Linked DNA regions of Canis lupus familiaris. The protein of the gene in region 2 interacts with the protein of the main gene of each other region in a pairwise test. Links are inferred from orthologs where the notes say so. Each region holds a gene or a part of one and is shown on either strand. Other genes may lie near its edges.

Region 1 (4,234 bases), on a different chromosome or scaffold from region 2:
TGGAAATGACCCCAGATTACGGCAGGTAGAAGGGGGTGTTAAATGAGACTTCTCTTGACTCAGGGTTTTGCCCAGGGCCCCAAAGTTGAGCATAGGGCTGAGTGTCCTCTGGTTCTAAAGAGACACAGTGTACCATCCGTACAGGCTAGGTGGAGAGCCCGAAACTACTTCTGCGTCCTGTGGTTCCTCACCCCCCTTCAGCTCGTGTATAGGAGAAGGCAAGAGTGGGAGAGGGCTGTTAGAATTCTAGAAGTTTATCTTATTACTAGATGGTTAAAAAAGCCAGCCTAATCTAATATGGAAACTTCAATCAGTCATCCAATTCAAAGCTCTGGCTCCCTCTCAGTTCAGGTGTGACCTGTAACTCTGTGGAAGAGCAAAGGGAACGTTATGTGGATTAAGTTCTTCACTCTCCTATTGCACACTTTCTGCACTATTTTCTGGTTTCTCCAGGGTAAGGGCAGCAGGAGGAAGGGATGGTAATACAGGTCTGTTTAGAGTCAAATGTCCACCTTTGTCTTCACATGACCTTCACTCAACTCCAGTGTCTTGTCTTCTCTTACAAGGATTGTCTCTCGTTGGATTTGGGGCCCAACCCAGTGATCCAGGATGGTCTCATCTTCAGATCCTTAATTATATTTACAAAGCCCCCCCCCCCCCATTTTTTCCCAAGTAAAGTTGTCTGGATAGGTTTGGGGGAGGCAGATTTAGGAAGTGGCTGTATCTATCTTGGGGGCCGGGGCACCATTCAACCCACAACACTCATCAAATTGTTTCATTGAACCTGAAAGTGACCGGGAAAGCTGCGCGGTTTGCTCAAGCTCCAGCCCTGGAGCAGCCAAGGGGCAGGAGAGCCAACAGAGCAGCGGTGAGAAAAAATGAGTTTCTTGTTATACCCTATGGAGCGTCCCTGCTCGACCAATTAGATTCATTGGTGTCTCACTTAGTTGTGATAGAAACCATCGTGCGGCAGTAATAGCCGTTTGAAACTAAAGCCCCGAGTTTTACCGTCGCTTTGATTTTATCGGACCGTTGCAGGGAGAGGATGTGTCCGGATGAGCGGTGCCACGGCCACCTGGTGAATGTTCAGTACTTCCTTACCAAGGGACGCGGGCTAGGGCTGCAATACATACTTGTTAATTAATTACTGCATGAAATCAATCGCATCCGGCCACCGTTTTGTCAACCTTTCAGCTGAGCACTGCCTTGACTGAAAGCACAAAGCGTACGCCGTGGAGTTAGTTCAACACACTTCGCAGCTGAAAAACGCTCCTGGGGGCAGCTGCCTTCAACTCAGGAGGCCCCGGGGCCACGTCGCCCGCCACGCCCGGGGCCGCCCCACAGCGAGCGGCGGCGCGGGCTTGACGGCCGCCGGTCCCTCTGCGCAGACGCCACGTACCCAGCACGCATGCGCCCGGCCTGCGGTCTCCAGCCGCCGGCCTCGGATTGGTGGAGCCTCGGTGGCCCCGCCCCGCGTGCCGGAAGCTCTGTCCCGGCGCCGACGTCTCCGGAGATTCCCGGGCGTGTGCGCTTCTCGGTGAGCGACGCTCTAGGTTGTCGCGTGTGTGTGCCCGGCGGCGCTCGGGGACGCGCACCCCTGTTCGGGGACGCTCACCGCTGCTCCGGGAGGGCGCGGGGGGCCGCGGTGCGTCCCGGGGCGGGCGGGCCCTGTAGCGCCCTCGCGCCTCTTCTCGGGCTGACGTCGCTGGGGTGGGCGGATCCCCGGGGGCCGCCGCCGCCTCCGAGCTGGCGGCCCGCGCCCCTCTCCCGAACCCGAGCCCCCGCGGGCCCTTGCGCTGCTCCCTTCCGCCCTCTGCACCTGTGCCGGGGGGCGTCCTAACACGAAGGGACACTAGCGCAGTGTTGCGTGGCTGTTCGGAAACCGCGGCGCCCCGACCCAGCGTTTGGCATCGGTTCTCTCCCTGGGGGAAGGGGCTCCCCTGTGTAGCTGCAGAGCTGTGCGTGGGTTATGACTAGAAACAAAATTTCTCTTTGATCGCTCGTGTCCCCCGGGGATTAAGCCAGATGTGTGCAGATGTGTGCAGCGTGCCCATATTAGTTAATATTAACAAGCTTTTCTATGCATTCAGTCCACAGATATGTAGGGCCTGCACCTGCCCGCCCGGCATAGACTCATTTTCATGTATATTCAGAAGCTGGGGCAATAGGTGTGCACGTAAGCGTTATCTGTATTAGCATATGCTCTAGAACTGTGTTGTCCCATAGGTAACCACGAGCTACATGGAGCACTTGAAATGTTCCTGGTCCTAATTGAGATGCGTCAGAGTGTCAAACAGCGAATTTGGGGGAAATAAGTATGAAAAAGAGAATGTAAAATATCAACAATTTGTTTTTATTAATTACATGTTGAAGTGGCAGTATTTTGGATACACTGGTTAGGTAACATGCTGTAACCTTCACTTGTTTATTTTTTTAACGTGGGTACTAGAAAATTTTAAATTTTATCTGTGGCTTGCATTGTATTTCTGTTGGATAGCACTGCTTTAAAAGGGCTCAGCAAACTGTGGCCTACAGCCAAATCCAGCCTACCTGTCTTTGAAAAACATTGGAGCAAAGCCATACTCATTCTTTTATGTGTCGTCTATGGCTGCTGTTCCTGCTACCAGAGCAGCAGACTTGAGTAGTCCATACAGAGACTGGATGGCCTGCACAGCTTACAGTATTTACTATCTGGCCTTTTCCAGAAGAAGTTCGCCAACAAACAACAAAGTTCTGTACAACAGTGCCTGCCATGGAGATCCATGTCACGTGAATCTTTTAATTATAGTCCTGTGTAATTGTCATGTAGGCTTACTGTGTGACAGGCATGGCTCTAAGGACTTTATAAGGACTATCTCATTTATTTCCCATATTAAGCCTAAGATGCGGAATTTCCCCAGTTTTGTAGATGAAGAAACTGAGGCACAGAATCATCAAGAAACTTACGGAACATGCTCAACGCCCCTCGGCTTCTGTGAACTCTAGCTTCTTGACCCTTCTTATCCCCACAAGCTTGATCTCTGCAGTCCACTCAACCCACAGTGGGCACCATGGTGCTGCTGCTGCTACTGCTGCTACTCCTTTTTGTTTTGTCTTTTACATAACTTTTCGAACTAGAATTGAGATGAGGTTGGCTCATGTGGAAGAAGCTGAGGGGCAGTGAGCTTAGGTGCAGTGGGTACGAGCAAGCTGGTCTGTAGTGGAAAGAATGAAGTGTACAGGGGCGCCTGGGTGGCTCAGTCAGTTAGGCATCTGCCTTTGGCTCAGGTCATGCTCTTGAGGTCCTGGGATCCAGCCACGCGTCAGGCTCCCTGCTCAGGGGTGTGTCTGCTTCTCCCTCTGCCTCTGCCCCTCCCCTCTGGTTGTGCTCCACCCCAAATAAATAAAAAATCTTGAAAAAAAAAAAAGAATGGGGCGTACAAGCAGAGAGGAGAGGAAGCATTCTGGATCCTCTTTTCTCATTTAATAAGAATTTGTTGAGTAATAGTAAGAACTGGCCAGGTGTCTGCTGGGCGTGTCTCCGTGAATGAAACAGACATCATTCTCTTATGGTCTTGTGGGGAAAGCAGACAATAAAAAACATTTTAGGGACGCCTGGGTGGCTCAGTGGTTGAGTGTCTGCCTTCGGCTCAGGGCATGATCCTGGGGTCCTGGGATCGAGTCCTGCATCGGTCTCCACGCAGGGAGCCTGCTTCTCCCTCTGCCTGTGTCTCTGGGTCGCTCTCTGTGTGTCTCTTGTGATTAAGGAGAATCTTTAAAAAAATAATTTTAATGTAGTCTGCACAGTGAAAAGCCATCACAAATATTTGATTTTTTTAAAGACGTTTTTAAATTTAAAAAAATTTTTATGATTTTTTTTTTTAACAGGCTTCCTCATCTGGAAGATGGAGATAAGCCACATACCTGACTTGGGGTCATCGCAAGGATGGAGATGACATAAATGTGTGTGGCACGTACAGTTCAATAAATGTACATTGCCTTCTGCTGTTAAGAGGTAAGGGAGGGAATAAGTCCGGGGAACTGGGTGCATCGTGACGCTTAAGACATTGCAACCACCAGTTATAATTGTAGAGAAGAGTCTCAGGTGAGCTGTGCACAGGAGGTGTTTTTAATATTTCCTAATGGGGCTCAGTCAGCAAAATCCAAAAGCAGGGAAGTTCTATACATTCACTGGAGGAGCAGGTCAGGAGCTGTCTTTGGGCTGATGGCAGTGTAACTGAGTCGGTCCTGTAGC
Region 2 (3,965 bases):
GGTTTTTATTTTTTTTATGATAGTCACAGAGAGAGAGATAGAGAGAGGCAGAGACACAGGCAGAGGGAGAAGCAGGCTCCATGCACCAGGAGCCCGACGTGGGATTCGATCCCGGGTCTCCAGGATCCCGCCCTGGGCCAAAGGCAGGCGCCAAACCGCTGCGCCACCCAGGGATCCCTGAAAAGGGATTTGAAAGGGGAGAAAAAGCATTACTAGATAACATCCTGAGCCCCATTTCAGGATTTCCTAACTTTTTATAGTAAGTTAATATTGACTTAGGTCTGTTCAGCCTTCTAATATTTGCCTTGTAGAAAACATGCAAAAATTGAATACATTGAAAGGTTCTGTAATTCAAACTCAAATAGTATGCTATAAGGTTAAAGATACAGTAACTGAAGTTATATTTTTTTTAAGTGACACCAGGAAATCTTCCTAAGAGAATAAATATAGAGCTTAATTACACTGAAATTTTATATATGTGTCAGAAAAAAAAGACAATAGAATTTTTTAAATACTTTTATTCATATACATGTATTTTGACAACTTCAAATTTAGAACACTTAGAATCAGCATGAACAAGAACTACCATTCAATGACAAGGATTTGAAATGGGGGAATAGATACTGTAACTGGTTCTTATTAATCTCCCCATGCAACAAGACACTCCCTGTGTCTTGTACACAGAAAAATTGATTCACACAATTCTAGAATTGCAGTATTTTTCTAACATCCCATTCCATAGTCTCAGAATACTTTTCAATTAAAGTGATCCAGATGTTTCGAGATGAAAAATAAAACAATTTGCTTTGTAAGGCTGAATAAATAGTATGAGTCACATTTCTTTCCATTAATATAAATTAGGGAAAAAACTTAGGAACAATTTACTGTAAACACAAAAACTATTCACAATATTAGTAACAACGGCTCATATTTTTACCGAACACTTCCTGTGTTTGCCAGGCCCCACGCTAAAACATCTGAACATGCAATTTCACAATTATCTCAATGAGAAGTGTCAGGGATTCACATGGTTTTTACAACGGATGATTGCCACAATGACAGCTGGCACTGAGCACTTGTGTACAAGTCTTTACCTGGCATTGCAGCGAGTACGACTCACTTGTAGCAGCTCAGGGTGCTCATTTGCGCGATTGTACTAATGTTACATGAATACTCAGGCCTGACTCCCTACCCCCACCCCCAAAACAGCACATGGCGGAAGTCTTTACCACTAGGGACACATCTGTAAGAGCACGGAGACAAGGTAAGCGGCTGCGATCTAGATGTGCACTGTCGCCGTTTCCTGGGCCTCAGAAGTGCCCCTCCAAGCCTAACTGCAGGAGGGCGGCCTCCGCCTCCTCCTCCTCCTCCTTGGCCTCCTCCTCGCGGATCTGCACCAGCAACTGGAAGAGGTTAGGGGCAGGCCCTTCCGCGGCCCCGGTCAGCCACAGCTGCCTCCGGATGGCCCCGCTGTGGTTGGCCCCGGCAATGACCTGCTCCAGGCGGGCCTGGTTCACGTTATCTTTATCTATGGCCCCCTTCTCCACCACCTTCTGCAGAAGAGGCTCCAGACGAATGACATACGCAGATAACTTTTCTCCCGGGTTCTGGTAAGTGTTCAGAAATCTGACCTGCGCATCCCTAGAGCTCTCGACGCTCCCAAACACCTGCTCAAGCGCCTTCAGGCATTCGGCAGTGGTTATCGCAGGGTTGTTCGTCTTGAGGATGCGGATGACATCAGCGGCGGGGCCCCGAAGACTCTCCATCAACCGCCGCCTCTTTTCTACATCAGACACCTGCCACTCCTCTATGACCTCATTAGTGTGTTCCAGCCAGGGATCAAAGGTCTCCTCCCCAGGCCCCGGGATGTCCCTCCCCGAGAACAGCGTCAACTTCTTGTACCATATGGACTCAACAAGAGGCTGAATAACGTTATCTAAAATATAGTTTAGCATCTCTGCTGGCATATCTGGACCCGGGGCCGGAGTGGGGTTCTGAAACCCAAGGACGCGGGCAACATCTTGCACGGTCCACCCCTCTCTCGCTAGGAAGAGGTGCAACCTTTCTAAAAATTCAGCATCGGAAGTCGGGGGTTTAAAGACCACTTTCCAGACACCTCCTTTACCCGGCATCTCCCTGGGGATCGCGGCGTAATCGACAGCGCCAGTGAGCTCTAACAAGGCTGCTTTCGCATTCTCTTCCCTCCAAAACATCCTCCCAAGCACTCGATAGGGCACCTGGGGCATCGCAGCCTGGAGGGTCTCCTCGATTTCAGCCTCATCACAGTTCACTGGGATCCCCCAGACCAGCAGGGCTCTCTGGGAGTTCACATCCATCCCCCGGCACCAGTCTTCCAACAGCGTCATCGCCATTTCCCCAACTAGCGAGGGCCCCGATTCTACAAAGACGGATTAGGCTGTGGCTCCCTGCGCTCTAGGGCTCAGCGCGGCAGCAGACACCCCCCCACCCCCGTAGGCGCGAGGGAGGCAAGCTTGACGCAATCACAATTAACAAACGACACCAGAGTCCTGCCCTCTTCCTTCGCGGCCCCCAAAGGCAGTCCGCCGGCTGGTCCCCGGAGCCAAGCCCCGGGAGGCTCGGGCAGTCGCCTCACGCGTCCGCCGCCACCGGCGTCCTCAGTCGGGGCCCGCGGCCCGGGTCCCCCACCTGCAGCCGGGGGTCGCGTCCCGTCGCAGCGCAGGAGGCGGGCAGCGAGCGCGGCTGGCGAGGGCTGCGCCGCGGGGCCGGAGGCGCCCGGGTGTGGTCGCGGGGCGTGGCCGCCTCCTCCCGGCAGCCGGGCGCCGGCACTCGGGGCTCCCCTCGGAGGCGATCCCGGCGTCCGCGGCCGGAGCCCGGCCTCCAGTCGGCCGAGGAGCGGCTGCTCTGCAGACGAGGGCTGTGCGGTCCCCGGAGGCAGAGCCTGTTCTGAGGTCGCGGCGGTGGCTGCCACGCCAGCCCGCCAGCGGCTTCTTTGCAGACGCAGGGATGGCTCCGGGCGGTGAGGGCGGCTGAGGACCGAGCACACGGGCGGCGGAGGCGCCGAAGGACGGGGAAGCGGGGCCACAGGCGGCGGCGGCGCGCAGGCTGCGGCGGGCTGCGGCGGTGTGGCGCAGCGGGGCCGCCGGGGTCCCACCGCAGCCCGCGGAGGCGTTACTGCCGCAGTGCGGGGCGGGGCCGGCTGCGGAGCCGCTTCCTCCGCGCCCCGCCCCCGAGCGTAGCCATGGCAACGGCGGCCCGGACTCCCGCCCGCTCCGCGCGCTCCCGGGGTTGGGGCTGGGGGCGGGGTGGGGCGGTTGCAGAGGCGCTGGCCTGACGCTCCGGACACTGCTCTCTTTGGTGGCGCATTTCCTTTTTCACATTTTCCAGTTTTTATTTCATTTCTTAAAAAAGATTTTATTTATTCGTGAGAGACACAGAAAGAGAGGCAGTGACACAGGCAGAGGGAGAAGCAGGCTCCACGCAGGGAGCCCGACGCGGGACTCAATCCTGGCACTCGAGGAGCACACCCTGGGCCGAAGGCAGGCGCCAAACCGCTGAGCCACCCGGGCTGCCCTTTATTTCATTTTTTAAAAAAGATTTTATTTATTCATGAGGGGTGGGCAGAGACAGAGGCGGAGGGAGAAGCAGGTTCCCTGCAGGGAGCCCCATGCGGGGCTCTATCCCAGGACCCCAGGATCCTGACCTGAGCCAAAGGCAGGAGGTCAAACACTGAGCCACCCAGGTGCCCTTAAAAAAAATTTTTTTTTTTTTTTTTAACAAAGCACCTTGTTTAAAAGATAATATAATTCTGGAGTGGAGTTAAGGCTGCAAATGCCTCCGTCACTGGTCTTCCGCTGGGTAGGAAAATACGGTCTTTAGCACCGCAGCTTCCCTGTCCCACCTGATTGCATTCTGCACCCTCCATACATCCCCTCAAACTAACACGTTGGAAGCGTGCCGTGTTCATATTTTTGTGTGAGACACTG
Region 3 (4,039 bases), on a different chromosome or scaffold from region 2:
TCCTCATCCATAAAATAAGTATTAAAGTACCTCAGAGGGGACACCTGGCTGGCTCAGTGGTTGAGCGTCTGCCTTCAGCTTAGGGTGTGATCCAGGATGGAGTCCCACATTGGGGCCCCTTAAGGAGCCTGCTTCTCCTTCTGCCTAAGTCTCTGTCTCTCTCATGAATAAATAAATAAAAAATAAATCTAAAAAAATAAGTACTTCAGAGTTGTGACTATAAGGGTACCTGATATGGGGCACCTGGTGAAGCGTCTGCCTTGGTTCGCTTCACAACCCCAGGGTCCTGGGATCCAGTCCCATCTCTCCCGCTAAGGCGGGGGTGGGGGTGGGGGTGGAGTCTGCTGCTCCCTCTCTCCCTACCCAGGCCTTGCTTGCGCACGCGCTCTCTCTCTTTCTCTCTTAAAATCTTAAGAGTATCTGCTATGGAGCCGGGCACCAGCTCTTACTAAGATGCCTGTAGGAATTTGTGGAATACAACGTTACCATAACCCTACTCTGGAACATCCACCTAACCTTTCAGTTTTCTAGGAAAGGAGCTTTTCGGCTGGCAGTCAGCAGCTCTTCAGCAGCGTCAAGGCGGAGCCCTCAGGCGCTGGGCCTCAGGCCGCAGGGAAAGGGTGCACAGGTGGAGTAGAGGGGCGGGGGCGCCGACACACTGACTCCAGGCTGCCATCCTAGTCACCGGGGCTGGGCACCACTTCCAGACTTCGTCGTGCCGTTGGCAGAAAGTCACTAGTTACCATGATTATCCGAAAGGAAACACTCTTAGGACAAGGACCCCGGCACCCGAGGGTTCCAGGCCACCCTCCCTCCGCTAAGCCCCAGGCTGGACCCCAGGCCCGACCGCTGCACTTGCAAGGGCGAAGCCCTGCGGTCAAGACACGGACAGATGGACCAGGGTCCCCGGTCCCCAGATGGTCGGGGTCTGGATCCCCGGTGGAGGCTGAGGCCGTGGGGTCGGAGTCCGAGTCCGGGATGGAGACTGAGGCTGGGGTCCGGGTTGAGTCCGGGGTTTGGATCCCGGGTGGTGGCTGAGGCCGGGGTCCCGGACCCCGGTGGCGGTCGGGGTCTGAACGCCGGCTCTCTGGGCTCGTTTCCTCGGGCTCTCCCGCTCCGCCCCGTGACCCTGCGACCTGGCTGCACCTCGCAGGCTGCTAGGAAACACGGGCGGAGCGCGGCAGCGGGTGGACGGCGGGCAACCGGCTTGGGCAGCCCCGACTGCGCAGGCGCCTTTCGCGCGGCCTCCACTGCGCAGGCGCCGCTTCCGGGCCAACATGGCGGCCGCTCTCCTGCTGCTGCGAGCTCTTCGCCCGGGCCCTGCTGTGGGGTCTGGGCGACTGCGGGGCCCCTGCTCTGGCTGGACCCTAGGCCTCTCCCCCGGGGCGGGAAGGAGGTGCCTCCACTTCGTCCACAGGCCTCCGACCCGACTCGTGGGGACCAGAGACCACGCCGAGCAGGTAACCGCCGACCTGGGGTCGGGGACCGCCCATTCCTGCCCCACACGCTGCTGGGCCCTCCCGCAGCCTCACCCCTCATCCCCTCACCACCCCCATCTCCTCACGTCCCCCCCATCCCCTCACCTCTCCCATGCCCTCACCCACGCATCCCCTCACCCCTCCACTCCCTTACCCCTCACCCCCATCCCCTCAGCCCCTCACCCACGCATCCCCTCACCCCTTCATTCCCTCATCCCTTCATTCCCTTACCTCTTATCCCCTCACCCCCATCCCCTCAGCCCCTCAGCCACGCATCCCCTCACCCTCATTCTCTCACCTCTCAGCCCCCATCCCCTCACCCCCCTCCCCTCACCCTTTCATTCCCTCATGCCTTCCTTATCCCTTCATTCCCTTACCCCTCATCCCCTCACCCACGCATCCCCCTCACCCCTCATTCTCTCACCCCTCAGCCCCCCATCCCCTCACCCCCATCTCCTCACCCCTTCATTCCCTTACCCCTCATCCCCTCACCCCATCCCCTCACCCAGGCATCCTCTCACCCCTCACCCCCCATCCCCTCACCCCCTATCCCCTCACCCCTTCATTTCCTTACCCCTCGTCCCCTCACGCTCGCATCCCCTCACCCTTCATTCTCTCACCCCTCAGCTCCTCACCCCCAGCCAGCACCTAGCCGCGGGTCCCCCCATTCCCCCCACCCCAGGGCAGCCCTGGAAGAGACCCCGCACAGGCCCCAGCCTGCATCTTTCCAGCCCTTTTCTCGTGTATTGATTTTTTTCTGCCCATTTGCTTACTTTCCTAGCGTCTTCAAACTGAATCCAGGGATGCCTGGCCCAATCAGTGGAGCAAGCGGCTAGATCCTCGGGTTATGAGTTCGAGCCCCATCCACGTGGGCTGTAGAGATTACTTAAAAATAAAGTTTTAAAAAATGTTTAAAAACCGAATCCAGTAAGAGTTTGACCGAGAACTATTTGACCATTGGCTCACATACAGACGTTGTGAGGATGATGGTACCTAGCCATCGCTCAAGTGGGAGGACAGTTTTGTATGAGCAGATCTCCCTCAGCTGTCTTAGGTTTGTCTCCTAGCGGAGGGCGTTATGGACCTGGATTAATTGAGCACTCTTTTTTTTTTTTTTTAAAGATATATTTATTATGATAGAGAGAGGCAGAGACACAGGAGGAGGGAGAAGCAGGCTCCATGTCGGGAGCCCGACTCGGGACTCGATCCCGGGACTCCAGGATGGCTCCCTGGGCCAAAGGCAGGCGCCAAACCGCTGAGCCACCCAGGGATCCCCCTAATTGAGCACCCTTAAGTGAGGGCTGTGCTTCAGGATCTGCTCAAGTGACCTCTACCTAGAAACAAGGATCCCAAGCTCTAGTGCCATCTTGGCTGCTTTTTCTTCCAGTCCTTTCTTAGGAGCTTAACATACTTGAGGTCATAATTTATTATTGTTCTTTTTTACCGTAACTTGAAGACCCGTTTGTATTATAGTTCTATTGTAGATCACTGGTTGTTCCTCCCGAGCCTGAACCTGAGGGACGTATAGATGTATTACACTTTTTTCCTTTCTACTTTTAGTTCTATTGAAAAGGAAAATCATAATTAATATTGTCTTTAGTCTGACCCCATGCTTATTCTATGAAAGGAAAGGCTGAAGTAGGAAATTCACATATTGTGGAATCTCCGCAGGCTCCCTCACCAGTGGCTGTAACAGAAGTAAACTTAAGTAACCTGGGTTAAACAAACTGTTTGGATCTGACTTTAGAGAATGACAATTTTTAAATTTTTATATCTTTCAAATTCATGATACTCGTTTATTAGGCCCAGTCTACATTCTGTGTCTACTCCTTATAGGACTCCTGAACTCAGTCATCACTGAGCCAGGTGTAGTAGTTTTAATTAAGTGGGACAATAACTATAGATGAGGAATGTTCTTCCTGTTGCTAACAGGAAATTACATGGAATGTGCTTGCTACCCAAAAACATTGAGCAGGATATTACTTTATTTTTAATATTTTGTTTATTAGAGTGAGAGCGAGCACAAGCGGGGAGCATAGGGAGAAACCTCCCCACTGAGCAGGGAACCTGATGTGGGGCTCCATCCCAGGACCCCAGGATCCTGATCTGAGCTGAAGGCAGACACTTTACCGAATGAGCCACTCAGGCACCCCGGGGTATTACTTTCCTTGATAGCAGGGCAGAGATGAGCTAAGGAAAAAATTAAAAACAAAGAAATAAAACAAATGAAGAAAGTGCCAACAAAGAGATAAAAAAATTAAATTGGATCATTGACCTTGGCATAAAACACAAGTGGGAAAATGCTCATCTTGAAAGCAGAACTTCAGAAAGACAGACTAGTAACCCCCTATAGTTCCTGAAAATGTTCTGCAAGGAGCATTGTCTGGAGAGGTCAGGTGTAAGGGCTCTGGGCCCTCCCTTCCACTTAGCCCTTCCAGGGAGCTGTGATCCTCAGGGCACAGAATGGCAGTCTGCACTCCCTGCCTTTCCTTCTATGTTTCTTTGACTGGCTTCCTTGCATCACTTTTGTTTTGATGTTGAAAGTTTGAAATAATGCTTAG
Region 4 (2,753 bases), on a different chromosome or scaffold from region 2:
ACCTGCGGGCCAACCTGAAGTCCGTGAAGAAGGAGGACACAGAGAAGGTGAGGACTCCTCTCCGCAACCTTTCGGCCCCTGTCCCCTCAGCTTCCCCTGTTACTCTGTCACATGGCCTCGGGCAGGAGCTCCCGCTGGCGGCCAGGCGGCCAGGCGGCCTGGCAGCCTGTTAGAACATTCTGGAGCTCTCTGGGAGGCCAGTGATGAAGTCTTGTGATTCTATTTTGGGAGAAAGAAGACTCGCTCCCCTCCCTCGGGCTGCTCGCCATCCGAGGAGGAAAGCAGAGGAAGCCCGAGTGAGCAACAAGGTAGAAAGCGTAGCCAGTGCAAAGAGGATGCGGAGTTAGAGTGACGGGGCGATCAGGGTGACCCCCGTCTGTCCCCACGGGTGGGGGGGGGGAAGATGGCACATCATGGGGGTCACAGGACACTGAGCACAGAAAGTAGAGAACCGAGTTCAGTCGCTGATTCAGCAACAAATCCCTGGAACGGATGGGCTGCGGCCGCGTGCTCGAGAGGGTTGGGCTCCAGAGGGCCCGCGCTGAGGCCGTGCGTGTGAAGACAACCCAAGGCTGCGAGTCCGCTGGCCAAAGGAGAGCCGGCCAGGTCGGGAGGAGGCAGGCTGCTCAGAAGAGGTGGCCCTGAGCCGGCCTCGGGCCCGAGCAGGCGGTGGCGTGGGTCTGGAGGCCGGGGCGCCCAGCTGACACGCTCCCTCTTCCCGTGCAGCCTCGGCCTCCCCGAGTCCACCCGATGCGTCCTTGGGCCCCACCCGTGGGCAGGCGTGTCGGGATTTCCTCTTTTCCAAGAGGCTGACTTTGCATCAGCAAATTTCTCTTGTGATGGGGGGGCCCAGCTGCCCTCTGGTCTCTGACGTGTGTTGGGGGGCCCGCCCGTAGGAACGCCCCGTGGAGGTGGGGGACTGGAGGAAGAACGTGGAGGCCATGTCCGGGATGGAGGGCCGGAAGAAGATGTTCGACGCCGCCAAGTCTCCGACCTCGCAGTAGAGGTAGCTAGAGACCAGCTCCCTTCTTGGGGGGCCCACCAGAATCCAACAGCTCACGGGGGCTCCGGGACGATGGGCCCAGCGGGGGGGCACTGAGGCGGCCCGCCCTGGCTCCAGCACCCCGACACCTTGGGCACGTGGTTCCAATTTTAGTATATGTGCTGCCGAAGCGAGCACGGGCACGTGGTTCCTGCTTCGGGGCGCTCCCGGCTCCCTGTCCGCAGCACTGGGGGTCCAGCAGGGAGAGTTCTCCAAGGGCGTCCCCGTCCGGCCTATCGGTTCCACCTGCAAATGCTCTGGCTTCGCCCTGGAGCGATTTGATCTGGACTGTGGGGTGGGGCCTGCCCCCGGGGTCCCTCCTGCAGGACCTTGGGAGCCGGGGTTGGACGAGCCCTAAGGGAATTTGAAGCTTTTAAAAATACCTCCTGGCAAAGGACCCCAAACTCGGAGTCCCCGGGCCCGGTGGGTGGGGGGGGGGGGTGGTGTCCGTTCAGAGAAGACGAGACCACCCCCTCTCTGAGGAAACTGCTGGAGAAAGCAGCAAGTGTAGGGCGCAGAAAAGCCCCACTGTCGCTCCGGGGGAGGTGTGAGCGGGTGACGGGGAGAGGGCCGAGGGCTGGCACCGCAGGCTTTCCGGAGCTTTCCTCTGAGGAAGCGATGGGCAGGGGCTAGCAGACGCAGGGCAAGGGCGCTGCAAGGCCGAGGGCACAGGGGGCGCATTAGCGGGGAGCAGGGGCAGGGCTTCAGAAAGGGGAGCCGAGGGAGCCCGGGCCTGGCTGAGAAGCTGGGGTTTCCTAGGAGCCCCCTGGCTGGCAGCTCTGTGTCCTACCGGTAAAGCTGTAACCCGGCGTCTGCCTCTGTCCCACAGGCCGCCCTGCCGCCCCGTGCTCTGGGCTTCCGCGTCTCGCTCCTCCCTGCAGCCCGGCTCACCTGCCTCTCTGCACCCCACCCTGCCCCTCCGGAGCACCCCCTCCTGCCCTCGCCTCTCCCCTCCAGCCTGAGCGCCCTCCTCTGGGACTGGGACTGAACAGACACCCGAGAGGACCAACCCCCGTGTCTGAAGACCTCGCCCTAGCGGGGTGTAGACGCCTGCCGGCTGCGGTGGAGCCAGGCTGAGGGGGAAGGGGTGTGAGAGCGTCTTCCCTCTGGCCCCAAGCTGCATCCCTCCACTGCTTCTCTGACCTGCAGAGTGCCCCCCACTCCGGGCATCCCAGCTTCTCCATTAAAAACCAGGCTCCTGGTCACCTCTGTCCCTCCGTGCCGGTCATGTCTGCACCATGTGAGTGCTCAGAAGGGAGGGGATCCGGAGGGACGGGTGCGCCGCCTCCAGGCAGGAGCTCAGGGTCCGAAGGAGGTCTAGGGAACTGGCAGCTGCCTGCCAAGGTCCCCCGGGCCCCTGCCGCCCAGTCCCAGTGACATCACCCCGTCACCACCCAGAATGCTCAGACGACCCCAGGCCTAACCTCTGGAACAGCCCAGCCCTCCCAGCGACCCCAGCCATCAAGGTGGGCCTCTCTACGCAGAGCCCCTTGTCTCGCCTGCTGTCACAGTCCCCTTTCTCTGACAACCTGGACCACCGCTCCCTGGCAGCTGCTGGATGTTCCTGACTGTTCTAGACGTCCCTTCCGCCCCTCACCTGGTCCTCTGCTTCCCTGGCCCGGCCCCAGGGACACCTTGTGCTTGTGTGTCTGGCCACCAGGTGGCTCCTTTCCCCATCGCCGCCCCTGGGCTCACCCGTCCTGACCCCTGC
Region 5 (4,042 bases), on a different chromosome or scaffold from region 2:
CAAGGAAAGTGGAGGCACCCCTGGCGTTTGATCTAGTGATCCTTTCTTCACTGTAGGCAGGCATCGATGGGGAGAAAGAGCATGCCAATGCTAAGAAGATCCTGCTGGAGATGGGGGAGTTCTTTCAGATTCAGGTAGGAGGGCACTGGTGGGGAGCAGGCCACTGCCAGCCTAGTGCCCTGCGTGGAGTGTCTTCATTGGTCCTCCTCTGCCCTCTGCCCAGGATGATTTCCTGGATCTCTTTGGGGACCCCAGTGTGACGGGCAAGATTGGCACAGACATTCAGGACAACAAGTGCAGCTGGCTGGTGGTTCAGTGTCTGCAGCAGGCATCTCCAGAGCAGCGCAAAGTCCTTCAGGTGCTTGGGAGGCCATGGATCCTGGAGCTCCCAGGAAAGGGGGCATATAAGGATTCTCAAAGGGGCTTGGCAGCATCAGCAGACATTTTTTTGTCATAACTTGGTGGGCGTGTGCACGGGCTGCAGGTATCTCTAGCGGGTAGAGGCCAGGAAAGCCGCCAGACATCCTCCAATGCACAGCAGAGCTTCCCCACAATTAGCCAGCCCCAGCCTCGGCCTCGGCCTCGGCAGTGCTGGTGTAGAGGAAACTGGCCTGAACTAGTGCAGCAGGAGAGGGAGGTTCAAAGACCCGGGAAATCGGGAAATGGGAGGCTGGAATAGATAGAGGAGGGGCGTGCCAGATGCCCTGATAGCAGGAGAAGGCTAAGCCAGTTTCCCTGCCTCCAACCCCTTCCAGGAGAATTATGGGCAGAAGGAGGCGGAGAAGGTGGCCCGAGTGAAGGCGCTGTACGAGGAGCTGAACCTGCCGGCTGTTTTCACGCAGTATGAGGAAGACAGCTATAGCCGCCTCATGAGCCTCATTGAGCGGTGCGCCTCACCCCTGCCCCCAGCCATCTTTCTGGGGCTGGCGCACAACATCTACAAGAGGAAAAAGTGACCTAGAGACGGCGAGGGTGGGGCGGGGCGGCTCTCAATAAATTGTCCAATCTTCTCGTGCGTCTGTGCCTGCTTGTAATGGTCTGGGGCACAGCTGTGTCCCCAGTAGGCAGGGTTTGGGGAGAGTGGTGCCGGCCTGCGCCGCAGCTCAGTTGGGAGAAGTCAGGGTTAGTAGGGGTGGCCGGGACCAGGGTCTTGCCTTCAGGACCCTTGGGACCTAGAGCTTAAGACTAAAGCTGCGCGGAGCCTGGATGGGTGACACAGGCGAGACGTCAAGCGCTGGGGGCGGGGTCTGAGCCCCGCCCCGCCCCTGCGTGAAGGGGCGCGGCTGCGCAGCGCCGGCGGGTCGTCCTGGCGCCCCCCATCCAGTCGGTGCGGTCCGACTGGGACCTTGGGAGTCGTGGAGGAGCCGGGCTGCAGCGGTCGCTGGAGGACCCGGGTAAGGTCAGGGGGGACGCATCCGGGCACGCTGGGTGGGGCAGGAGGGGGGGCGCAGGAAAATTGCATAGAGGAGGAGTGGGGTGGCGTCTGGGGGACAGAGCCGAGCGCGGAGAGAATGGGTGAGCGCGGCGTCGGAGCAGAGATCTGCTGGCCCACCTGCTCCGCGGACCTGCGCGCCGCCAGCTGCCGGGTGCTCGCCCCCACGCTCGCCCGCTACTCTCCTGCATTAGCAAGCTGGCCGCGCCTCCCCCACCCGATTTCGGAGCATCTGGGCGGGGCCTCCCGCAGCCCCTTCCCCTGGGAGCGAAGGGCAGGCTGGGGAAGCGGGGGTGCGGTGCAGGGCCAGACTGCAGCAGAGACGATCCGAGGCTCTATCCTGGGCTCCATCCTTTTTCAAGCCCCCGCACCTCCACAGAGATCCAGAGCGCAGCCGCATTTCTTGACCCTCCCCGCCCCAGTCCCGGGGGGCTCCTTTGGGCTCCACCTGCAAATACTGCAGTGGAAACTACCGGTCAGTCGACGGACATTGGCGTCTTATTTAAATACTGTCCAAAGCAGCCGGTGCCTTTCATGACCGCTGCAGCTGCCCGTCATCGCCGCGCCCCGCGTCCTCTCTGGCTGGGTATCACTCTCCCTGTCTTCCAGGTCTGCCTCTGCGGTTGCCAGGTAGGCGGTGTGAGAGGCCCGAGCCTCCCGACTCTCCAGAGGCCACCTCATCGCTGCCGGCACAATGCTGTCCCCTCAGAGGGCTTTGCTCTGCAACCTCAACCACATCCACCTCCAGCATGTGTCCCTGGGCCTGCACTTGTCCCGCCGTCCTGAGCTACGGGAGGGGTCCTTGAGCACATCCCCTCCCCCCGGAGACACAGGGGGCAAGGAGAGCCGCGGCCCCTGCAGCGGGGCCCTGGTGGACGCCAATTCCAACAGCCCAGCTGTGCCCTGCCGATGCTGCCAGGAGCACGGGCCCAGCTTGGAGAATCGACAGGACCCAGTGCAGGAGGAGGAGGGGGCTGCCTCTCCCTCGGACCCGGGCTGCTCCTCCTCGCTCAGCTCCTGCTCAGATCTTAGTCCAGATGAGTCCCCCATCTCAGTGTACTCGCAGGGCCTCCCAGGTGAGGAAGATGTCCACCCTCAGCCCAGCATCATCCCCCTGGAGCAGGGCTCCCCGCTGGCCTCCGCAGGCCCTGGCGCCTGCTCTCCGGACAGCTTCTGTTGCTCGCCCGATTCCTGCTCCGGAGCGTCCTCCCCACGGAGCCCCGGTCTGGACTCCAACCGCAACACCCTGACCACCTGCCAGGAGCCCCCTTCCCCGGGGCTAGAGGAGGAGGAGGAGGGAGGGGAGCAGGATCTCCTTGCCTCCGAGCTCCCGGAGCCCGACGCTGGGAAAACCGAACCCAGCTGGAAAATCAACCCCATTTGGAAAATTGACACGGAGCTCCCCGATGTCGGCTGGAAAGCCACGGGGATCATTGACTCTGGCTGCACCATCCGCGGGAACAGCAGCTCTAGCTGGACAACGGAACCTGCAAAACTCGACTCCGGCTGCAAAAGCAACCCAGTTATCACCGAAGCCAGCCCAAAAACAGATGCGGGGTGGAGTGACGTCAGCGGGGAGCCGGCGTCGCACCGGACAATCACGTCCTTCCATGAGCTGGCCCAGAAGCGCAAGCGGGGCCCGGGGCTGCCCCCCGTGCCGCAGGTCAAGAAGGACCGCAGCGACTGGCTCATCGTATTCTCGCCCGACAGCGAGCTGCCCCCCAGCGGCTCCCTGGGAGGCTCCCCGGCGCCGCCCCGGGAGGTCACCACCTTCAAGGAGCTCCGCTCCCGGAGCCGGGCCACGCCCCCGCCGGTGCCGCCCCGGGATCCCCCGGTCGGCTGGGCCTTGGTGCCGCCCCGGCCCCCGCCCCCGCCCGTCCCACCGCGGAGGAGGAAGAACCGGCCCGGGCTGCAGCCCATCACCGAGCGGCCGCCCGAGGAGGGCAGGGCGGGCAGCCCCGTGGCTGGCCAGGAGGCCGCCGCCGCCCGGGAGCCCGAGGAGCCGGGCGCGCAGGCCAGCCGCGCGGGTAAGCCGCCGCAGGGAGCCGCGGGGTCGGGGGGCGGGTAGGTGAGGGGCTGCGGCCTCGCTCCCTACCCCCCGCCTCCGGCCCGCCCCGCGCCCCCGGTCTGGGCCACCCGCCCCCTTCCCGCCCCCCTCGCCCCGCCTCCCGCCCCGCCAACGGCGAGCGCTCCGGGAGGGGGACCTGGGGGGCCGCGGGGCTATGGCACTAACTCTCTGCTCCCTCTTTCTCCGCCCGTCCCGCCTGGCTGCCGCCTCGCTCCCCCCGCCCCCCCCGCTGCAGCCGGCCCCCCCCCGCCGCGCCCGCCCTCCGCCCCCCGGTCCGCGGCCGCCCCGCGCCCCCTGCTGGAGGGCGCGGGCACGGCGGGGACTCCGCTCCCGGCGCGTCCCGCCGGCCCTCCCCGCGCGGGGCTGCGGCTACTGGGCGCGCCGAGGCCTCCGCAGGAGCGGCTGCTGCCGGTCCGCCAGTCCCCGGTGGGCGCGCACTCGCCCCCGGCTCGGGGGGCCCTGCCCTGCCTGGCCAGCCCCGAGCTGGCCCTGCTGCTCTCCCCGCTCTTTCCCAGAAGCAGCACCTTCCCCGCCGCGGCCCC
Region 6 (4,224 bases), on a different chromosome or scaffold from region 2:
AACCAAGCCAACGCTGCTGAGGTCAAAGAGGCTGAAAGGCTTGCTGACCACAGCCTCTGTCTGGATGAAGTTCCTCAGCATCTCCATGGATGTGGTCTGCACATAGCCATAGTCCTGGGGGCAGAGGAAGGACAGCCTTTGGGTGGTGAGTGGAGGAAAAAGGTGAAAGTGAATGGACTTAGTTTTCCCACCCCAGCCCACATTTGCAGGGCACTGGGCACTTGGGGGAGACCCCTGGCCCTCACCAGCACTTCATCCAGGAGTTCGTAGACAAGAGCCACGTTTCGGGAGATGGTCCCCTCACTCAAGGAGCCACAGTAGTCGCCCAGGAGAGTGGCCAACCTGAGAAAACAGGGCTGTGTGTGCATACCCTTCTACGGTCGTATCCCCGCGCCCAGGTGCCCAGCCCTGCCCTCCTCACCGGGAGAGCAGCTCTAGAAGGCTGAAGGGAGAAATGTTTTCTGAAGTCGTGGCTACCAAATAGAGGCCGCTGTGTCTGATGTGAATGAAATGACGGTCATCGTGGTGCTGAGGCGGAGGCGAGGAAGAGAGCGTTAGGAAGACATGTGATTAAGGACCCGCGAGACTTGCTAGCGGTGGGCCTTGGGGCGAGCCAGGCACCTCGCCCCCGCCCCGGGACCCAGCTGCCTAATGTGGAAGTGGAAGTGGCCCTGGTACCTACCCCGGACTGGCGGAGCTGCGCCCCGTAGAGTGTTAGCGCTCCAGAAACTGTCGCTCGGATTACTTGGCAGAACGTACCCCCCGCCCCGCCCGCGCCCCCCAGCGGCAGCTCTCAGGGAAACGGTCCTGGGAGGAAGGAGGCGCCCCCCAGCCCTCCGGGAGCCTACCCCAAGCCCCGCCGCAGGTTACCATGACAACCGGGGACTCATCTCCGGGCAGTCCCGTCAGCTTCCGGTAGAAGAGCTCGGCCACATCCCGACCGCCACTGTCCCCGCGGACTGACCGGGTGGAAGGACAGCTAAGGAGTCGGCGACACGGGCGGGCTCTAGGGCACTACTCCCACCCAGGCCTCCCGCCCCGCAGGTCAAGGATACAATCCTTGTAGATGAGCGGGTCCCCTTTGGAAGACAGAATGAAGAACTGGGAGATCATGGTGGTTGGAGAGTCCGCAAGGAGACAGCGAAACTTGGGCCTGCCCCGCCCTGCGGCCCCGGAACAAAAGGACGCGCGTAGGCTGGTCCTTTAAGAGCAATTTCTCTCGGTCCGAGCCAGCTCGGACCGCGGGAAACCCGGCGCCCGCCCCGCCCGCCCCGCCCCGCCCCGCCTCGCCTCTCCGCAGCTCGGGTGCCCGCGCCGCTGCCCCGTCACTCAGTCCAGACTCGCCTGGTGATTGGCCGAAGCTATGGCCTGCGGGAGAGTGGGAGGGGCGAAGGGCCTCCTCTTTGATAGGCCCGCACGCGGCGGCGCCCGTCACGTGGGGGGCGACGTTTCGCGCCAATTTCGGTTGGTCGGCAGGAGCCCGCCGCGCGGACGCTTTCTGCTGTCCTGGGAGTGAGCGCCTTGAGCCCGCCAGCTGCTGCCGCACGGGCGATGGCAGTTAAAGACTACGTGCTCGAGAAAGGTGAGGATATGCAAACTTGGGAGGAGCGGCCTGCGCGGGAAGCCTGCGGTCCAACACCTGTTGGCGTGAGCCGGCGTCCTGGGGCCCCGGGGCGCGCGGCCAGAGGCAGGGTCGAGAGGCTGCAGGGCAGAGGCAGACGGTGCGTGGGAGGCGCGCGGGCCGCGGAAGTCGAAGAGCCAGTCATGCCTGGGGAAGGAGTGGCGGGTCGCGGTGGGCGGGGGAGGGTCGCGCCCAGGAGAGACCGGGACCTCAGGAGACCCAAAGGGCTTTCCGCCCCCAAGGACAAGGACCCCGGGTCCCCCCTCCCTGCGCACCCTTAGACATTCGGAGCGCCCGCGCCCTCTCGAGACGCGCCGGAGTCCCGGGGGCGGGCGGGCCCCGGCCGCTGAGTGCCGGGATTGGCCATTTTAGGCCAACCTCTAAGCGGAAGTGAAGGCGGGCGGAAGTTGCGCGACGTCGCTGGAGGGAGTGTCGTCTGTAAACAGTGTCCTTCCGCGCCGCGGCCTCGGAAAGAGCTGCTCAGGGTGGGGGCGTGCCTGAAACTGGGGGGCTTCGCGGGAGGCCGAGAAAGGAGGTGGTCGGGTGGGACGGAGTGGCCCTTGACGAGCCGGCCAATCGCCGGACGGGCTCCCGCCCTGGGCGGAGGAATCCCGGGCTGTGAGGCGGCTGCATCTGGGCCCATGTGCTTCTTTGTTTACTAAGAGCGGAAGCAGTGGCGGGAGAGGGGGTGGGGTGCAGGCTGGGCCTAGTGGAGAGACTGAGGAGACCGAAGAAAAAGAGGAATCTCAACGCGTGGAAGAAAAACTGAGAACCTTGAGCTCAGAGCGTGTGGCGGGGTGTGAAAGGCCTTTGGGAACGAGTACTGAGATTTGTAACCAGGGGAGACACTGGGATTCCCTGGGGGAAGGTTGTTGGGTAAAGCTCCTGACTGCCCGGGGCCCCTTCTCTAGGTGAGAATAGACCTGTTAGAAGGAGTTCTGCTCTACTTGGTAAGAATTACGAAGTAAAAGCGAGTTTTTTAAAGAAGCGTATCAAGGGGTTTTGTGGTAAAGTATCTGAAAGACTCATTCTCATGATTTACGTTTTCCTTGCAGAAAAGGTTAAGAAATTCCTACAAGAGTTTTATCAGGATGATGAATTTGGCAAGAAGCAGTTCAAGTACGGGAACCAGTTGGTGAGTCATAGAAAAAGTGGAGGGAATGGGTGGTTGCTTAAGGAGCTGTAAGAGGTGGCCTGGCTTGCTTCAGTAAGTGTACATGTAGGTAACAGCTTCAGTGTGATTCTTAATATTTAGTAAGTGGAAGTCATTCTGTGTGGGTAATGAGCAGTGTGCTCTTTAGAAGTTAGAGGGCTGTCTTTGGGGGGCTGAGAAGTGAGTATTGCTTTGTCTCATGCTTCTTTCTACCCTTGTGGGTGGGGGACACTGCTGACCATGGTGTACACAGCTCTGTCTCGTCCTTACCCCAGGTTCAACTGGCTCATCGGGAACAAGTGGCAATGTACATAGACCTAGATGATGTAGCTGAGGATGACCCTGAGTTGGTGGACTCCATCTGTGAGAATGCCAGACGCTACACCAGGCTCTTTGCTGATGCTGTACAAGAGCTGCTGCCTCAGTACAAGGAGAGGGAGGTGAGTGGTTGCAGGACAACACAGGGCAACACAGGTTGCTTTCCAGAAGCTTCTCAGATGCTGGTTTTTCAGAGTTGGCAGAAAGGGGGCAGTAATTTCTGCCTGGTTCCCTTTGTGGTCTTTCGTTCTCTAGTCCTGCCACACGTTTTTTCTTCTATCTTTCTTTTCTCTTGAGGTGGTAAACAAAGATGTTCTGGATGTTTACATTGAACATCGGCTGATGATGGAACAGCGGAGCCGCGACCCTGGGGCAGCCCGAAGCCCGCAGAACCAGTACCCTCCCGAACTCATGCGCAGATTGTGAGTGGTCTCAGCGAGGAAGGCTGTGGAAGCTTGTGCAAGCTTGTGCTTCAGAACCTTTGTAATGACTCTTTTCTCTCCCTTAGTGAGCTCTACTTTCAAGGCCCAAGCAGTAACAAGCCTCGTGTGATCCGGGAAGTACGGGCTGACTCTGTGGGGAAATTGGTCACCGTACGTGGAATTGTCACTCGTGTCTCCGAAGTCAAACCCAGGATGGTGGTGGCCACTTACACTTGTGACCAGTGTGGAGCAGAGACCTACCAGCCGGTATGTAGGGAGCAAGGAATAGGAACATATTTAATTGTTAGTGGTTTGCCCCAGAATTACTTTTAACTCCTGGTAGTTATCTGTTGTTTGCTGTGTTCGTTATGAAACACAACTGTGTGTTTACTTATCATTGTTTTTCTGGTCCGTAGTGGTCTTTCCATCGTCCTTTATGGGTTTTTGGTTCCTATGCTTATTGACTCAGGACAGGTCAAAACGTTGGCAGTGTGCGATGTGTGCTATGGGGAAGAGGAAATGTTGACTCAGGTGACGGACTCATGGCTTTTTGCTTTTTCTTGCATTCTAGATCCAGTCTCCTACTTTCATGCCTCTGATCATGTGCCCCAGCCAGGAGTGCCAGACCAATCGCTCAGGAGGGCGGCTGTATCTGCAGACACGTGGTTCCAAATTCATCAAATTCCAAGAGATGAAGATGCAGGAACATG
Region 7 (4,121 bases), on a different chromosome or scaffold from region 2:
TGCCCCTTCCTCTGTGCCCCCAAACACTTTGTACAAAGAAGTCGTCAGGCTATACACATGTGCCTCCCCCCAAGCAAGGGTCAGATCGACTCACTTCTGTACTTCTAGTCAAAGTGAAGATTTGAGAAAGTCAGGTCTATCCTTGTACCACGTTTAATCCCACTTCTCTTAGGAAACAAATGTTAGCCTCAGCATGAGATGTAACATCAGCAGCAAGAGGCCCATAAAGGGCCAAGCCCCGCCCTTGCTGTTGTCTGAGCCCTCAGATGATGTATGCTCTCCCATCCAACATCTCACTTCAGAGAAATAATTCCTGAGGTCATCCCAAACCCTAGGAGGGGGCTTCCTGTTGGCCTCAGGATCAAATATGAACTTCAGATAGATGGAAACAGCCTTCAGCCTTCCCAACTGGTCCATTTGTCTCACCTCTCTTCCTATTCCCCACTCTGCTTCTAGCACCATACGCCAGAGCACACTGCATTTATTTGCTTCACTTTTTCACCTCCTGTCCTTCACAGGGATCTTCCCACTTCTTGGAATGCTTGTCCCAGTCCTTGACCTCCTTTTCCAAGTCTGTGCAGATGTCACCTCCTCTGTGAAGTCCTCATTGACACACCAGGCAAAATTAGGAGCTCTACTCTTTCCTCAAGAACCTGCAGTTCCTTTTGTCAACAATGACCATCTAGCAGCCTAATGCTCCACTTACACATCTGCCTCCAGCTCTCAACTGTGAACTCCCTAGGAGTGGGGCCAAGCATGGCTATCTCATTGTTCCTCGCTGTATCTTTTTTTTTTTAAGATTTTATTTATTTATTCATGAAAGACAAAGAGAGAGAGAGAGAGAGAGAGAGAGAGGCAGAGACACAGGCAGAGGGAGAAGCAGGTTCCATGCAGGGAGCCTGATGTGGGACTTGATACCGGGACTCCAGGATCACGCCCTGGGCCAAAGGCAGATGCTAAACCACTGAGCCACCCAGTGATTTCTTCCTCGCTGTATCTAACGTCCAGAAAAATGTCTGACACATAACAGGTACTTAATATTCATATTCCAAATGGATGAATAAGGCTGCCCACTCCCAAGAATCTAAGGTCCTTGACTCAGAAGCTGGTCCTCCCACTGTAATGGGCCCTCCTGGCTTTGCTCCAGAGTCAAGAACTTTCCAAGCCCTCCCCTCACATTGCACCTTCCCAAGACACTCACTCCTTCACCACACGAATGCCCAGGGAACGGGCAGAGCCAATGATGGAGCGAACCACAGAGGACAGGGGCACATCCTGCAGGGCGAAGGCCTCATCCTGAGCTTTAACTTGGGCGATCTCATACACATGCTTCAAGGTCACCAGGCCAGCCACCTCCTTCCCTGGGAGGAAGAAACAAGTAGACCTTGAGGTATCTCGGCTTCCTTCCAGAGCCCCCAAAATCCCGGGTACCCACCCTGACCCTTACCTGTTTGCCGGGCCCCCTTCTCAATCCCAGCAGCTGCTTTCAGGAAGTAGGAAACAGTGGGTTGTCCGATCTTGATTTCAAATGTCCTATCAGGCTTCATGGGGAAGAAAATACAGGAGAATATCTCTCTTATCTCCTCTAGGCCCTGCTGCCCCAGCCCAGAGAACTTTTAACTTCTGTTCCCCCTTCCCTTGACTCATCTTCCACTGGCGTCCATTTAACAGATCATGAAAACACGGGGAAAATAAATCTGCAGCTAACAGCTTTGTCACCTCTAGTCCAGGCTCAGCTCTGCTGTAGAAGCCCGAGTGAGATGGACAGGCAAAGGGAGGAAATGCAATATGGCAGGAAAGGCTCAGAAAAGATATGGTCTAGTCTCCACTGTGTAAATGGGGAAAGTGGGACTCGGTGATAGGAAGAGCCTCACCCAAAATTAAAAGCAGAGTAGCAACCCCAGTAACCAAGGGGAAGAAAAACAAATAGGATCATTAGGTGACGGGGATTAAGGAGTGCAATGAGCACCGCGTGTTGCATGGAACCGGTGAATCACTATATCATACACTCAAAGTTAATATAACACTGTATACCGGCTAACTGGAATAAAAATAAAAACTTAAAAGCCAAACAGGATCAAAGTCCCGACTGTGCACCTTCACAAAAATCTTGGTGGGCAAAGGAATGCCTTCTTTGATGTCCTTTGTCTTCTCGTTGAACTCCTTGCAGAACTGGTTGATGGAAACACCTCTCTGGGTGGGAAGCACGGACATTAGTGTGGGGACAAGGGGGCGGCTTCCTACCATACGGGAGATTCTATCCCTTTCCTCCTTCGTCTTCATCTCTTAAAGGTCCCATCCTCCTCTTATTAACCCAGATTCAACTAACACTTTACGCGCCAGAGGATCTGTATGCATCGTCCCTCTATCCTCCCAAGGGGCCGCTGACCAAGGACGGAGGAAGCTTAGCCTCGAACAGGCCACGGAATGAACGCAAAGACCAAAAGCGTGTGGGCAGCAAAGCCGCGCTTTGACCTTACCTTACCAAGCCGAGCCCGCACCCTCCACCCGCTCCGGGTCCCAGTACTAGGTCCCACCCCCACCACGCCTCCCGCTCCGGGTTCCAGCCGCGGGACCACCTGACCCAGGATGGGACCTAGAGGAGGCCCGGTCATGGCCTGGCCTGCCCGCACGATGGTCCGGATCACGCCGCCGGCCTCGGGCTTCCTGAGGGCCCGAGCGGCTCGGTTCAGCTTCGACATGACGCGGGGTTGCGGCCTCAGTTCAGCTCAGGATTACAGCAAAAGCGACGGCCACGGGCGCCGCCATCCTGAGTCAGAGGTCAAGGGTCCTCACGTTAGGTTTGGTCATATGACGCCAACAAAAAGCAGCGTTGTTTCGGCCTTTCTATTCTCCAACTAGTACGCCAAAGAGAGTAATATGAAGGATAAAAAAAACTTTTACCTCACGATCTGAAGATAAGGGAAGGCCTGAATGGTTCAGATACATGCATTCCTCCTGCAGAGCACATAGGCAGTACCTCGGACAGCTAAACTGGAGGAGGAGGAGGCCCTTAATGTTCGCACAGCATTGTGGGCATGGTAGTTTTGACCGCTTACGCAAATCTCGCACGTTGCTATGCTCTGGGGGGCCATCTGCTGGATGTGATTATAATCCTGGGGTTTGAAGGGAATTTAGAGCTCCTTCTCGGGCGTGAGCATCTCTAACTTTCCCAGCCTGTTTCGTCACCTGTTGTTGAAAGGCACTATGATTAAGAGTATAGACCCGGGAAGTAAGTACCCGGTTGTTCCTCTTGCTGGCTGTGAACTTGTTCAAATTACTTATGTTCACTTTCCTCCCCTGTACAAAGATTATAATATGTAGACATAGCTCTAGGGACTGTTGTGAAGATTGAGTTAGCAGTGTGTTAGGACAATGCCCGGCATCTAGTAAGCATGTGCTATTAACTGTACAACGAAGACAAAACCTTCACAGAGCTGTTGTGAGACTTATAAAAATAAGCCAGCATCTTATTATGCCTTTTTTTTTTTTTTTTTTTTTGAGCACTTGCTATATCCAGGCATGGTGCCGAGTGCTTTAAGGGCATTATTATCTCATTTAGTCCTCACAATGGCATGAGGTAAATTCTTTTATTTTACCTTTTTGACAAACGAGAATGCTGACGCACAAAAAGGAGGTCAAAAACAACTACCCTGTGTTGACAAGGCTGGGAAACCAATATTGGTATTACCGGATTCTAGACCTTGTGCCATGTACCATGACTCTACATTGCCTCATCTAGTAAAAGGAGATAATCTGTGCTAAACCACACTGTAAACTGTCATATTTTTATTATGATTTTTTTGGACTTCCACTAATTAAATGTGATTATTCCTGCCTCTGAAGTTTCTCAAGTTCTTTATAATGCTCTATCTCATTAGCCTTAGCCAGGGTCTGGAATCAAGCTGGCTCCTGATTCACTAGTTGTAAAACATTGGGCAAAATAATTAAGTTTCCTGTGCTTTGGTTTACTCACTAGCAAAACGGGGCTAGCAATAGTACTAACCTCCCAGGAAATGAGTTAATTCAGGTAAAGCACCTTGAAGAGAGCCCAGCTAGATATGATTTATCTCTGAGTGCCCCCACACTGCCCAGCCTTTATTTACACTTTTATTTTACAA

What was found.
Region 1: the proteins of PNMA1 (region 2) and TCEANC interact in binary tests that used the Homo sapiens proteins (3 or more experiments, as listed by UniProt). The two-hybrid records come from large-scale screens. The link is inferred for Canis lupus familiaris from reciprocal best matches to the Homo sapiens genes PNMA1 and TCEANC.
Region 3: the proteins of PNMA1 (region 2) and SPG7 interact in binary tests that used the Homo sapiens proteins (3 or more experiments, as listed by UniProt). The two-hybrid records come from large-scale screens. The link is inferred for Canis lupus familiaris from reciprocal best matches to the Homo sapiens genes PNMA1 and SPG7.
Region 4: the proteins of PNMA1 (region 2) and TNNI1 interact in binary tests that used the Homo sapiens proteins (3 or more experiments, as listed by UniProt). The two-hybrid records come from large-scale screens. The link is inferred for Canis lupus familiaris from reciprocal best matches to the Homo sapiens genes PNMA1 and TNNI1.
Region 5: the proteins of PNMA1 (region 2) and RUSC1 interact in binary tests that used the Homo sapiens proteins (3 or more experiments, as listed by UniProt). The two-hybrid records come from large-scale screens. The link is inferred for Canis lupus familiaris from reciprocal best matches to the Homo sapiens genes PNMA1 and RUSC1.
Region 6: the proteins of PNMA1 (region 2) and MCM7 interact in binary tests that used the Homo sapiens proteins (3 or more experiments, as listed by UniProt). The two-hybrid records come from large-scale screens. The link is inferred for Canis lupus familiaris from reciprocal best matches to the Homo sapiens genes PNMA1 and MCM7.
Region 7: the proteins of PNMA1 (region 2) and MRPL11 interact in binary tests that used the Homo sapiens proteins (3 or more experiments, as listed by UniProt). The two-hybrid records come from large-scale screens. The link is inferred for Canis lupus familiaris from reciprocal best matches to the Homo sapiens genes PNMA1 and MRPL11.

Annotation. Positions count from the first base shown.
Region 1 is NC_049260.1:10,112,905-10,117,138, forward strand, and holds the start of TCEANC (transcription elongation factor A N-terminal and central domain-containing protein), read left to right. Parts: upstream 1-1,434; 5' UTR 1,435-1,537; intron 1,538-3,866; exon of another isoform or gene 3,867-3,867; 5' UTR 3,868-3,994; intron 3,995-4,234.
Region 2 is NC_049229.1:47,276,435-47,280,399, forward strand, and holds PNMA1 (paraneoplastic antigen Ma1), read right to left. Parts: upstream 2,627-3,965; 5' UTR 2,373-2,626; coding exon 1,311-2,372; 3' UTR 501-1,310; downstream 1-500.
Region 3 is NC_049226.1:64,512,039-64,516,077, reverse strand, and holds the start of SPG7 (paraplegin), read left to right. Parts: upstream 1-1,239; 5' UTR 1,240-1,277; coding exon 1,278-1,460; intron 1,461-4,039. UniProt on the Homo sapiens protein: Catalytic component of the m-AAA protease, a protease that plays a key role in proteostasis of inner mitochondrial membrane proteins, and which is essential for axonal and neuron development.
Region 4 is NC_049228.1:1,607,608-1,610,360, forward strand, and holds the end of TNNI1 (troponin I, slow skeletal muscle), read left to right. Parts: coding exon 1-47; intron 48-896; coding exon 897-1,004; 3' UTR 1,005-1,006; intron 1,007-1,871; 3' UTR 1,872-2,253; downstream 2,254-2,753. UniProt on the Homo sapiens protein: Troponin I is the inhibitory subunit of troponin, the thin filament regulatory complex which confers calcium-sensitivity to striated muscle actomyosin ATPase activity.
Region 5 is NC_049228.1:42,224,805-42,228,846, reverse strand, and holds the start of RUSC1 (RUN and SH3 domain-containing protein 1), read left to right. Parts: upstream 1-1,242; 5' UTR 1,243-1,394; intron 1,395-2,041; 5' UTR 2,042-2,126; coding exon 2,127-3,445; coding exon of another isoform or gene 3,446-3,459; intron 3,460-3,727; coding exon 3,728-4,042. Other genes in the region: FDPS (farnesyl pyrophosphate synthase), read left to right, coding at 57-134, 224-358, 756-956. UniProt on the Homo sapiens protein: Associates with the adapter-like complex 4 (AP-4) and may therefore play a role in vesicular trafficking of proteins at the trans-Golgi network. Signaling adapter which plays a role in neuronal differentiation.
Region 6 is NC_049227.1:9,437,341-9,441,564, forward strand, and holds the start of MCM7 (DNA replication licensing factor MCM7), read left to right. Parts: upstream 1-1,424; 5' UTR 1,425-1,551; coding exon 1,552-1,582; intron 1,583-2,026; exon of another isoform or gene 2,027-2,106; intron 2,107-2,394; exon of another isoform or gene 2,395-2,418; intron 2,419-2,428; exon of another isoform or gene 2,429-2,571; intron 2,572-2,676; coding exon 2,677-2,756; intron 2,757-3,049; coding exon 3,050-3,214; intron 3,215-3,389; coding exon 3,390-3,514; intron 3,515-3,600; coding exon 3,601-3,781; intron 3,782-4,085; coding exon 4,086-4,223; intron 4,224-4,224. Other genes in the region: AP4M1 (AP-4 complex subunit mu-1), read right to left, coding at 4-114, 246-342, 422-528, 871-959, 1,056-1,113. UniProt on the Homo sapiens protein: Acts as a component of the MCM2-7 complex (MCM complex) which is the replicative helicase essential for 'once per cell cycle' DNA replication initiation and elongation in eukaryotic cells.
Region 7 is NC_049239.1:51,392,305-51,396,425, reverse strand, and holds the start of MRPL11 (39S ribosomal protein L11, mitochondrial), read right to left. Parts: upstream 2,801-4,121; 5' UTR 2,703-2,800; coding exon 2,580-2,702; intron 2,194-2,579; coding exon 2,098-2,193; intron 1,542-2,097; coding exon 1,448-1,541; intron 1,362-1,447; coding exon 1,202-1,361; intron 1-1,201.